3 linked regions of the Schizosaccharomyces pombe genome follow. Changing the gene in region 3 together with the main gene of any one other region gives a genetic interaction. Each region holds a gene or a part of one and is shown on either strand. Other genes may lie near its edges.

What was found.
Region 1: mutations in fsv1 (region 3) and rdl2 together harm fitness more than expected from each alone (negative genetic interaction), as found in Schizosaccharomyces pombe (one large-scale study listed by BioGRID).
Region 2: mutations in fsv1 (region 3) and saf4 together harm fitness more than expected from each alone (negative genetic interaction), as found in Schizosaccharomyces pombe (one large-scale study listed by BioGRID).

Annotation. Positions count from the first base shown.
Region 1 is NC_003424.3:3,838,114-3,841,290, forward strand, and holds rdl2 (thiosulfate sulfurtransferase Rdl2), read right to left. Parts: upstream 1,358-3,177; 5' UTR 1,268-1,357; coding exon 1,169-1,267; exon of another isoform or gene 1,045-1,168; coding exon 993-1,044; exon of another isoform or gene 944-992; coding exon 724-943; exon of another isoform or gene 658-723; coding exon 600-657; 3' UTR 547-599; downstream 1-546.
Region 2 is NC_003423.3:1,785,989-1,790,926, forward strand, and holds saf4 (splicing-associated factor Saf4), read right to left. Parts: upstream 3,059-4,938; coding exon 2,798-3,058; exon of another isoform or gene 2,753-2,797; coding exon 2,504-2,752; exon of another isoform or gene 2,449-2,503; coding exon 2,059-2,448; 3' UTR 1,930-2,058; coding exon of another isoform or gene 1,655-1,929; 3' UTR 1,620-1,654; downstream 1-1,619. Other genes in the region: ubiquitin hydrolase Ubp4, read right to left, coding at 1-92, 153-260; SPOM_SPBC18H10.09 (zf-CHY type zinc finger protein), read left to right, coding at 344-426, 490-1,619, 1,655-1,929; PPR repeat-containing protein Ppr2, read right to left, coding at 3,396-4,694.
Region 3 is NC_003424.3:1,312,593-1,316,062, forward strand, and holds fsv1 (SNARE Stx8), read right to left. Parts: upstream 1,889-3,470; 5' UTR 1,873-1,888; coding exon 1,129-1,872; 3' UTR 644-1,128; downstream 1-643. Other genes in the region: DNA-binding transcription factor, glucose starvation sensing, Rst2, read left to right, coding at 1-91. UniProt on the Schizosaccharomyces pombe protein: Involved in vesicle-mediated protein transport between the Golgi and the vacuole.

The sequences.
Region 1 (3,177 bases), 2.5 Mb from region 3:
AGAAATTTAGGGGACAGTCAGTTCAAAGGTCTCCTTTCTAATCATACTTGTAATTGAGATTGTAACATTCAGTGCAAAAGAAAAAAATGTTATTCGCGTTTTGAGCAAACCGGCAAGGTATGAATAGTATTCTTCAAGCCTTTAAATGTCAAAAACCCATCAATTTTAATTCCACCTGGTTGTTCGAAAACTAATTTCTTAGAGTTATCTTTAACACGTGCTTGAACTGTATTCCCTAGTTTAATTGAATTTGGAGGTGTTCTTTCTAAACCCGGAATTAACTACAATGACTGTCTCAAAATATATTTTCCCATATTAATAGCTTCCAATGTATTTACAGCTTTACCCTTTCGTCGAAGTCTTTGACAATAGAAATGCGAAGGAATAAATCGCTTGAGTAAGTAACTTATCATAGTTCAATTCACCTTATTGTTACATTGCAGTAAAATTGTTTTTGTTTTCTAAGTACACCTTACTTATCATCTAAAAATGGTGAGCAAGCATACGATGCATGCATTCAACTCTAGAAACTTAAACTACATATAAAACTAAAAGGTAACGTAATGGGTGAGAAGGCTGGAAAGCGTTCGAGTCTACCCTCACTTAGACTTAATTTTGTCGGACCACTCAAGCCATGAGCCAGTGTAGTTTCCAATACTAAAAGGTTAGTTTTTGAACACTGTTCTCGAAATTAAGTGGAATTGTTCACCTATACAAACATACTTTTTATAGCCGAGTTTGGTGAGAATGTCAGAAGCGGTCGTACTTCTTCTACCAGAGCGACAGTAAACTACAACGTTGTCCTCAAAAACGGGTTTGCTGAATCCATAAGTCTTGGAAAACTCCTCGTCACTAAGTTTCATGGCTTCCTCGATTTTTCCAACAGGTAAATTATAAGAAGTTTCGATTGCACCTTGCTTAAATTCATCGGGCTCACGAACGTCTGACATGTTAGCAGAATAAGTTTTAACTCACTATTGTATTGTCCTTACCAATTAAAACGGTGGATTTGTCGCCAGTTGGTCTTTTACTAAGGTTATAAACCTATTTCAAGTTAGTACCGTTAATAATTCCAAAATACTTGGAGAGTAGAGTAGCGAAGTGTAAAACTTAGCTTTAACCAGAAAACATCGCATATGAAAGCAAACGTATTCCTATGTTGGTTTACCTTTTCGAAATCAAAGATGCTGACATTCTTAACTACTGTAGAACTGTAGAAAGAGCGGGTCATCAGGAGGCGAGATACGGAAAGAGTTTTAGAAAACATTATGGGTGAAAACAAGGTTTATTACAGCTAGATGGCCCCTTTCAGCAGGCAGGTTAAATCTCAGATTCCCACAGTTGACGGTAGTGGTATAAGCGTGATCGGTGAGTAGTATGATTATATGAACGATCGCTATTACGAAATCGGCAGGTTTGAAGTGTTATAGGGGCTTGTGTTCAGAGGAATCAATAAATGAAATGGATCTTTGTATTTTCGAGATTTTTCAATAATATTTTTCTTTTTTAAAACGGTAGTTTTTAAAGTTACTATTCAAGAAAAGAGCGATTCATCCATCGGGAAAAATGAAGTTGCCGCATTTTCTATGTTTCACTTTTAAACAATTACATATTCAGTATATAAGTTCATAGAATAGAACTGTACGTACGTCTTTGGCACAGTTCTTTAAAATTGCGGATCTTTAATTGTGTATATTACTATATGGAGGTAGCATATGGATTTACCAAAAAGCATTTTATGGATAATTTGTTATTCATAAAATTATGTTTGTTGGAAATACACTGACAGAAACAAGCACTCTAATTTTCAATTGAGCTACAGTTGTTTGTTTTATCATTAGGAGAAAACAGGAATTCATACGACGCTGATTTATATAGATGTATACGTAAGTTTATTTATTTATTTTTTCTCGTCGGGCCTGAAATGCACTGTACTGTAATGTCATGGCATGCTTCAATGCTAATGTAATAGGAAAAAAATCACAGTACACAAATTTTTATGAGTGCTGATATTCTCGCAATGGAGAAACGCTAGGTTTAACGTAAGCATGATGTTTAAATTTGCCAGTACAATTAGAAAACAGGTTGTAAGTCCACCTTTGATATTAGGTCACAGTTCAAATCACTTTTGATTGTATTGCACATGATATTACGTTTACTAAGATTTCGCATCAATTTTAATATTGCAAGTTCTAAGGTAGCAGCATATTATTGAAAATTGAAATTTCAAATGGAAAAGTGATTCACATGCGTCCATTAAAATATAAAAAATAAAAAAAGAAATTTATATCTAGAATAAATTATTGTTTCTTTTAGCGGCAGAAAAACTAGTAGTAAAAATTTTATGCCAATAAATAAATATATAAAATAATGAACCTAAATAATCATATTGGCAATGTTTTCCAATTCAATCATCCGAAATGAATGATTGCAATGGATGAAGGAAAATAAAAACTTGTAAAAATGAAGGTCAGTAAGATTCAGTGTTTAAGATACCTCTCTGGTTTACAATCTTTTATGGACAAATATATGAACGGTTAATTCGATACAGTTCATCTGTTTCACTCGAATACTCAATATAATTTATTTACAATTCACCCATTAAATTAATATTTACCTTATTCATTCGCTTTCATTAATTTCATTCATTCACTTAGTCCCTTATTGTACCAACCTTGTCGCTCGGTACCGAATACAACAGTCGGCGGTTGATCATAGCTAACTAGTGCTAATAGCTAATTTCCTTAAGCAGACTTTTAATCCAACTGTGAATACCAATTACGTACTGTTTTGATTTAGTTAATATTTTCTTCCTCTTTTTTTTTTGCGCTTTTTTTCCATCGAAATCAAATATTATGAAGAATGACTTACTTCATAATTGCGATACCCGAAAACATCACTGATAAAGAGGGGATATCATATTAAAGAGTGAATACCGGTTAGGTCTTAGTTGATTCTTTGGATGTTGGATTGAGGTTTAGCTTGAAATGATGGTTGTCTTTCGTTTCAATTCACCTTTACAACATTTAATTTTTTTTTTAATGATCCATGATCACAATGCCATAATTTACGAAATCCTGGATTACGAGACTCCTGATCGAGCCGCAACTGCTGAATACAAGCGAACCTTGAATCGCAGGCGGATGAAGTATAAAGTTAACTCATATCAATTAAAGA
Region 2 (4,938 bases), on a different chromosome or scaffold from region 3:
AATCGGCATGGAATTTCGTAAGCAAGTTTTAGTGCTTTTAAATAGTAATAGTATGCTTTGAGTAATGAATTTTTTTGTTCAAGAGTTTGGGCCTCAAAACTGTTAGTAATTGAAGCACATTACTATAAACGGCACGGAAAAATTAGACATACCTCTTCAAGCCAGCGTTGTCCTCTGAAGGAACAGCTTTGAATCGTTTCATCTTCATTAATATAAACGAATGCTAATTCAAATAGTCTGTCGAAATAATCATCGGACATCCGAGGAAGAACCGAGTATTTGTGTTGGCGACTTAACCTGAATTGAACCAAATACTACAAGACTATAGCCTTTTTTGGTTATTATGGTTTCAATTGAAGCTATGAAGGATTCAAATTGGGACTTGCAGATACAAGTATTCCGGCGAAGGCTTAATCCGGAAGTTATGTAAGTACTAAGCAGGTTAGCTGTGGGTTAGTTAATGTAAACATCTTTATTAACTAGTACCAGAGAGGCAAGAAATGAGATTTTCTTATCCTTGCCCAGTGATCATGGATTGATTACTTTAGTTATAAATAAAGATAAACCGTTTCAAATATCGGTATTACTTGAAAAAAATCAAGAGTTCATGCAAACGGCAATGAATAAGTACGTTGAAACGGCATTTCAAAATCAGAAAACAACTTTGACAAGTTTATTTAATTATTTGTTACAAAATTGGAAATCATTTGAGACATGCAATACAAAAGAGCGTGAGTTGATGGTTCAACAAGTCGATTCTAAGAAACCAGAAACCCCAACTGACTTAGAGCCGTTGGCAAATAAGCTTGAAGGACCTCTATCAGAGAGGGTTCATTTGAACACTACACTTGACTATGAAGTACTGCGTGGTCAAAATCACTGTCAAAAGCAGAATACTACCCAAACAAAAACTACCATCTCTGGCTCTGAACAGTTATTCAATGATGAAAAGCCAAAAAAAATTATTTATTCAAAAGGAGGAAACGATGGGAAAGAAGATGATCTACAAAATGTTAATGAACCACAGGATGCTTACAGTAACGATCATGACATTCAGAGCAAAGACACAGAGCTTCTGGGTAACGAATACTGCTTAGAATGGAAGAATCCGCATTTAACTAATGTCGGTACTCTCAAAGCACCAATTTTACGTTTGGTCATAAAGTGTGTTCGGTGCCATTATGGAAGTGAAATTTCTATTGCTACAAAATTTTCTCTTGTTTGCAATAAGTGTAGTAATACTCTAAGATTAGTTTGGGTGCCTGGTGTGATTCACCCAAATAATGCCCGTTTAGGTATCCTCCATACTTTAGGATGTGTACCGGTTGACGTGATGCCCATTGACTGTCAGGTCTCTTGTATGGAATGTGTTGATGAGCAGATAACATCCTTTAAAGGTATTTCTTCCATGCAGCCCATGCTACAGTTTTGTAAAGTATGCAAAAACAGAATCTTGGTTGAACATCAAGATACCGAATTTCATTTGTTAAAACAACGACAAAGTTCAATGGGCGGGAAGGTGAGCGCAAAAAAGAAGCAAAAACAAAACTTAAACATTACGAAAGGATTGCCACTTCCCAATAATGGTGCTTGCGAACATTACAAAAAATCATTCAGATGTAAGTCGTTTATAAAATTCATAATTAACAATCAGGGTTTCGTTTTTCATGTTGTGATCGTGTTTATCCATGTGATGAATGTCATGACGCTGATCAAAATCATACATTTGAGCATGCTAATCGAATAATATGTGGGTACTGTGCCATGGAATCTTTCTACAAAAAGGATGCAACTTGCCCCCATTGTGGAAATATGACTGTGAAAAAACAAACCAGTGCCTACTGGGAGGGAGGAAAAGGAATGCGCGATCGCGTTCGCATGAGTAGGAAGGATCCAAGGAAGTACAAAAGGAAGCATCACGGTAATTAATTGGGTTGCATGACATCCATATTTTTTTGCTTCATTAGATACCCATATTGTATAAAAATTTAATGAATAACAAGTAGTTAATCTTTTGATAGAAGATACTTTTAAAGTCTTCGTATTTAACCAAAATAATTATCCTTCATCATCACTCACTTCATAATTGACGAGAGAAACCGAATTATCTTCAAGGATTTTCTCTCCCTTTAAATTTTCTGTAGGAAATTTCCTTTGCTCGCTCCTTAGCTTCTCGGAAGGGACAAATTTTCGAGCAAAAGGATCTTTTTTTGCGAATGAAGTCTCAGCAAACTTTGCAAAAGTCGAAAATGTTCTAGAAGAGGGCATTAATGTTCTTCTATAATCTAATTTCCTTATAAATTTATTCTTTCCTAATTCGTTATCTAGCAACAATAATGCCTTATCCTTGTCAGAAGAAGAGGGTGGTAATATATCAATGTCCAACGCTGCACGGTTTTTGAGAGATAGATCTTTAGCTTCTTGCTTTTTTTCAATTTTTTTCCTTTCCTAAGTTATGGGTTAGTTAATATGAAAATTTTAACGCAAAACAAATTCTTCTTACCCGAAACTGTTTTCGCAGCCTCTGAGAAGAAACGAAAGGATCCGACCAAAGCCTTTCATTTTTCTCATATATAAAGTTTATTACAGAACTATTATGCTTTTCTGACTTTTGCTGAGTTAATTGGGTTTCCAGCGCTTCAATTGCATCAGACGGCACCTTTTCGTCGTTTTCAGCTTTTGCAGGACGTTCATTGATGTCTTGAGGTTCAATTTTCCTTCTGCCTCCAGAAGCAACGATGTATTCTGTATTCTATTTATGTCAGTAACAAATTTGTTAAATTAATCAAACCAGTACCTTAGGATCCGTATGTACATCGATAGGGTTTGAGCATAAATGACATTTTAAGCTGAATGACCATATTTTCGTAGTATAGTATGAGCCAATCTCTTTTTTAACAGCATTGAATCTAGTGCCTTGTTGAATGATATTTTCACAATTGTTGCACCACACTGGAAATGGCATTTCAAACCGAATTACATTTCGTAATTTATCAAATTTTCTTTTAGCATTCGGCCCTTCCGGGGGAATATATTTCCCCATATTAAATCCTTGCATTTTTAGTGAGTATATAGCTCTTTATGCCCAAAATCAGTAGTTCCTAAGTTAATACTACGTCTAGGTGAAGTTCAGGCTAAATCAGTGGCATGCAACAGAAACATAATTATAACTCTTAGTTAATTCATGGCTTTTCAACAAACAATTTTAAATTACGTTTGCTAAATTGACGTTAAAATAATAAGGGTTCCATTCTACAGTTTCAAACGGACAAGGTAAACATGTACAAATAAATAAATTACATGACGATTATTTGAATTCATTTCTTATAAATTAATAGAAAATTATAAATGACATAAAAAGGTATCGATGAATTATTAAACACTTGATGATATTTTTAGGTTGCTTCAACGGGGACGTTCAATTTCTTGGCCAAGTCTAAGAAGCTTTTCGTGTAGCTATAAAATTTCGGCCTTTTGCATAATGATAAGACAATCAAAAATGTCTGCTGAGTAGGGAAAGGACCGTTATGCGACATCCTTTTAATGGTATTTAAGCATTCAGCTGCTTGGCCCTGCTGAACAAGGTTACGTAGCTTCTCATGATATACTTGAAGATTTAAATCAAATTTGTGACTTTCCTCAAAATACTTCCAATACCTTGCTAACAAATCACCGTTTTGTATTTGACGAATGACCTGTAATGCTGTAACCAAACTTCTTGAAGTACAATCGCAATATGGGGGTAAAGGATAACGCAAGTTGGAATCTTCGAAAATCTGATATTCCAATCCCATCACTTTTGTAAGAATATTTAACCCCACGTTTCTCACTTGAGGCGAGTTGCTAGTAGCCAGAAGTTTCACAAAGGAACAAATAAGACTTTCATCAACTGCTATTCCTTTCTTTTGGCATTCAAGGACAAAATAATTCCAAAGATTCGTCCCCATCTTTAACACTTCTTCACGTTGTTCCGGATTGAACATAGAAAAGTCGTTCAAAAGTCGAAGAATTTGAGATCCACTATAGAAATCCAATGTTTGTTTGATGGATGGAATAATCATTGACACCAATACCATACTTTTAAGCTTTAGACTACACTTGGATATAATTCGTATGTGATGCAAATTGGATGTGACATTATTAGACTCCTTGAGAGCACTAGCTGTTACCTTTTCACTATATTCACGTAGTTTAGAAAAATTTCCTTGCTTATTCTTTTCAATAGCATCGCAAAATCCCTTTAGAAGAATGGAGTATGTATGATCGCTAGGTTTTTGTTGGCGCTTTTTCATATCATTGTACAAAGACCAAGCAGCGTTGTAATGCCCTTTAGCTAAATGATATTGTAGTACAAGGTTATAGGCAACCGTCTTCTTGGCATTTGATCTCTCGTACAGTAAATGCAATGCTTTCTCTAAAGACTCTTTTTGAAGTAACGAAGATACATTTTTAGCCAGTTTGAAACCATCGTTTCTTATTAAGGATGACTTAGTTTTTTTATTTCGAAACTCATTTAGATTGTTGACTTGCTCCTTGAATTTCAAAGCATCAGCGATTAAAAGGCGCTTTCGTACTAATTTCCGCGCATTACTTACTGAAACACTATACGTGGTTGCAAATTCCCGCAAGCAGAAGCGGTTTAGGAGCAAATCGACAAAGGCCCTTCGCGGAAATGTCCTTTTAATGAATTGCATTAAACAAACCACTAGTTTATTCAAGTTTAGGATTAAAACCGCGTTAGTAGGAAGTAAGTTATAAAATATGAGTTGTTACGAATGAAGACACTACATCATTAGTTCAACCATCGTCTTATGTACAACGTTGAGTAAAAGTGCTGTTTGACGAGGTAAAATTACTATATGCACACAAAAGATTGCAAAAATGAGTTAACAAAGCTAATTACAATGAAAGTAACTACTAGCGATGAATTTACTAATA
Region 3 (3,470 bases):
GGCAAATTGGTCTTCAGACTTTAATTATCCTGTATCCGAAACTTCCGGTTTGCTTACAGATAATAATCGGAATCAACCGCCCTCATTTTAATTTTTTTCATATCTTTATATTTTATACTATTTGTTTCTTAATGAAATGCATCTTTTAGTTTTTTTAAACAAAAATCAACTAGCTTTGATTCGGTTTTTAATTAATTTAAGGATTGATCTGAAGTTTTGAATATTTTGATTTGGGGTTCAATTGTTGATAGGAAAACGATCCTCTTTTACCGAATATTTAATTACGCTAAGATATGCAATGCTGAGAGGTTCACAACACATTAGTTAAGAGGGTTGCTTCTGATATTTTATTATCAAAAAAGGTTCAGCGTGATATGGTTAACAATAGCAACGGAGGCTTTATATTTAAGATGAAAAAAATGGCATTCAAGCACATGTTCCCTTAATTCTCAAGAAAGAATCTACTCGTTCAAACTTTTCCTTAATAATGATAATGATAACATGACTACGTATGTTTAATAATAGAAGAGAATATTTTTTAATGAGATGAAGGAATAATATAGCAAAACTTCTGAAAATAAATTGATACAGCTAATTGAAGATATTGTTGTTTATTGTTTACTGCCCTGAATCTAAAAATTTTGAAAGTCTAATAGGTTATTTATTCAAATGTCAAATAAGGAGTTATTAGCGAAACAAAGTTTGTAACAAATGGTTATTAAGCATTCACTCTGCATGCACTATATTCACTTGATTTAAGTCGTCAAAACTAGCTTTGTGAACAAGGGGGACGGCCCTTAAAAGAACACAAAAATGATTTCGATAAGAAATGCGCTAGCAGAAAAATAATTACTAAAGTAGAAAGACAGTCAATGGTTAGAAACTGGAATGTACGAAAAAGTTAATTTCTGTATTCCCTATAAAGGGAAGGTTCGTTTAGCAAAAGAAGTTGAAGATCACAAAAACATTTTCAAAATCGTAAAAAAAAAGTTCGTAAATATCACGGTTATTAAATATAAATAAAAGAACTATATAGCCTAGTTCAAAGAGGACGTGAAATAAAAGAATTAAGTGAAAGTGTAACAGAGTTACAGCAAGTACAATTGCTAAGTGATATTTATTTGCACCCTAAATGGAAGCCACAAGTAATAACAACGCACAAAGGAGCAAAATAATAAAGCATCTGGGATACTGTTTAGCCTTTCGGCTGACCTTGTTTAATCGATTTTTTGCATGATCAAACCTCCTCTCAATTCGATCAGCATCATTATTCATATTATCTAGTAAAACATTTTGTTCGGACAATTCTGTATTCATTGCATATCCCATCCGCTTTTGCCTTTGGACACTTGCTTCGATCCCTCCTAAAGATTCTTCTTGTTCGTTGAGCATTTGCTGATGCATTTGAGCCAAAACGTTTACGTTTATGGGATCAGGGTCATTGCCATCAACCGGATACATGGCCTCCATCTCAATATCAGATCCCTCACTACTCGAAGTCGTTTTTTGTAAAGAAGGAAGGGGAGTTAACTTATTATTCGTACTTGCAACTTGCGGGTTTGCAGAAAAGGCACTTGTTCCGTCAGCAGGAATTGAGGATGCACGCCGCTGCTTCTCAAACTCTTCCTCAGCAGACTCTAACCTCCTTTGCATTCTAATAAGAAATGCTTCGGATTCTCGTACTCTGTACTCTGGGATTTGTGCATTTTTCTCTAATCGCGATTGCTCCTCATTAAGTTTTTGCAATTCTTGCCGAACATCTTTCAATGAAGACTCAATTTCTTCATCGGGATTCTGTCCAAACTCTTCCAACTTCCTCCTGTCTCTTATTTTTTGTGAAACCGAGTCAATGATCAGAAGCAAATTTGACATAGTCGCTGGTTACTTTCTTGAGTAATCATGTTCATCATGCGCCTAAAAACACAAACATTAGTGAAGTTTACAGTAATACGGTGTAATGCCTTTGCTACCAATTCTAGGTTCAATTACAGTAAATTTTGTTTGCAGCAAAAAAAGAGAATCTTTTCGTATGTTTTAAATAAAAAAAAAAGTAAAAATGATTTGCTCATTAGCTGCCAGATCCATTATAGGCATCCTGTGAAATTATCGTATTATTAGAAACCTACTCGTTATTTACACAATTTTTTGAATGCTTCTTTTCGACTCTTCTGATTGTTTTCGGTATTTATCACAAATTTAGTAGTTCTTATTTCACATCTATTAAAAGGTAATCAAGCAAGGTGTAAGGAAAACTTTTTAATTATTGAAAGTTGGTTTGCGTAGTTTCAAAATTAATCAGATAAATTTATACAGCAAGCCCAGTATAAAAAGGGGCCTAACCAGGATTCGAACCAGGGATCACCTCTAAACTCAGCATACAAGTGGGGATTACCCGAAAGAGGTATGTTAACCACTACACTATTAGGCCTAGGTTTCTCATTACAAAATATTAATATAATATATATATAAAATAATTGCGACATAATAAATGTTAAGTACCTCTTTGCTCTGAAAACTAAAATACCAATAATGACGCTTTTCTTTTCATTAGAAGAGAATGTTTATTAAAGAAATATCTTAAAGAAAAATACTACTTAAATATTTATTTAGGAGTTAGTACACTAATTCCAGAGTATTAAATCCAAGTGTAACAAGGTAGGAGTAACAAATAGTTGTTTAATTACAGACAATTAAGTACAGTAGAAAATTACTCAAATATATACAAGGCTTTGGGCCGTTTAAAACGAATCATGCTGATATCTATATTCGGCTAATCGACTTCTTGCTTTATTCTCAGTTTAAAATGGAGTTTTTTTTTATAGCGTTACGAATTAGAAATAGATGTAGCCGTCTATCAAAGTTGACATTGCACGTGAAATTATCATTATAAACATAATCAAATGAATGGCAAAGCGATCAAAATAAGAAGGAATTTTACTACGTTATAAAACATTCGGCTTTTTATTTTACTTTATTCTTTTTTATTCAGGTGCATCTGATAATAATCGCGTGAAACTTGAGTGCAAAAAATTTTACAGCCCTGTAGATCCCGAGTGAGAGTAGATCACATATAGCTAAAGGAGCTCGTATGAAACTAAGATACAAATACATTTGTTTACGAACGTTTGACAAATATATAAATTGACCCACAGACCTTAAAATTGTCAACAACAGTTGTCTCAAAAAAAAGCCGGGTCGAAAGTACATTATTTACTAAATGATAGTGTTTTTAACTTCAAAAACAGTACAAAGAATGCTATAGAAAACAAAATGCATTTTCGATGAATTGAATTATTCATTTTCTGTAAACAACAAAAAGTTGGTTGAGAATTATGGAATTCGTTATTTTTATTTACCGTATTTCAATAGTTCGTAAATATGCATGACCGCATCGGTAAGCATAGGCAGGCTTAGTAACTTGCATTTCTCTTTGTCTTTAAGCAAACATCGACTAAAATACATATTGCTTG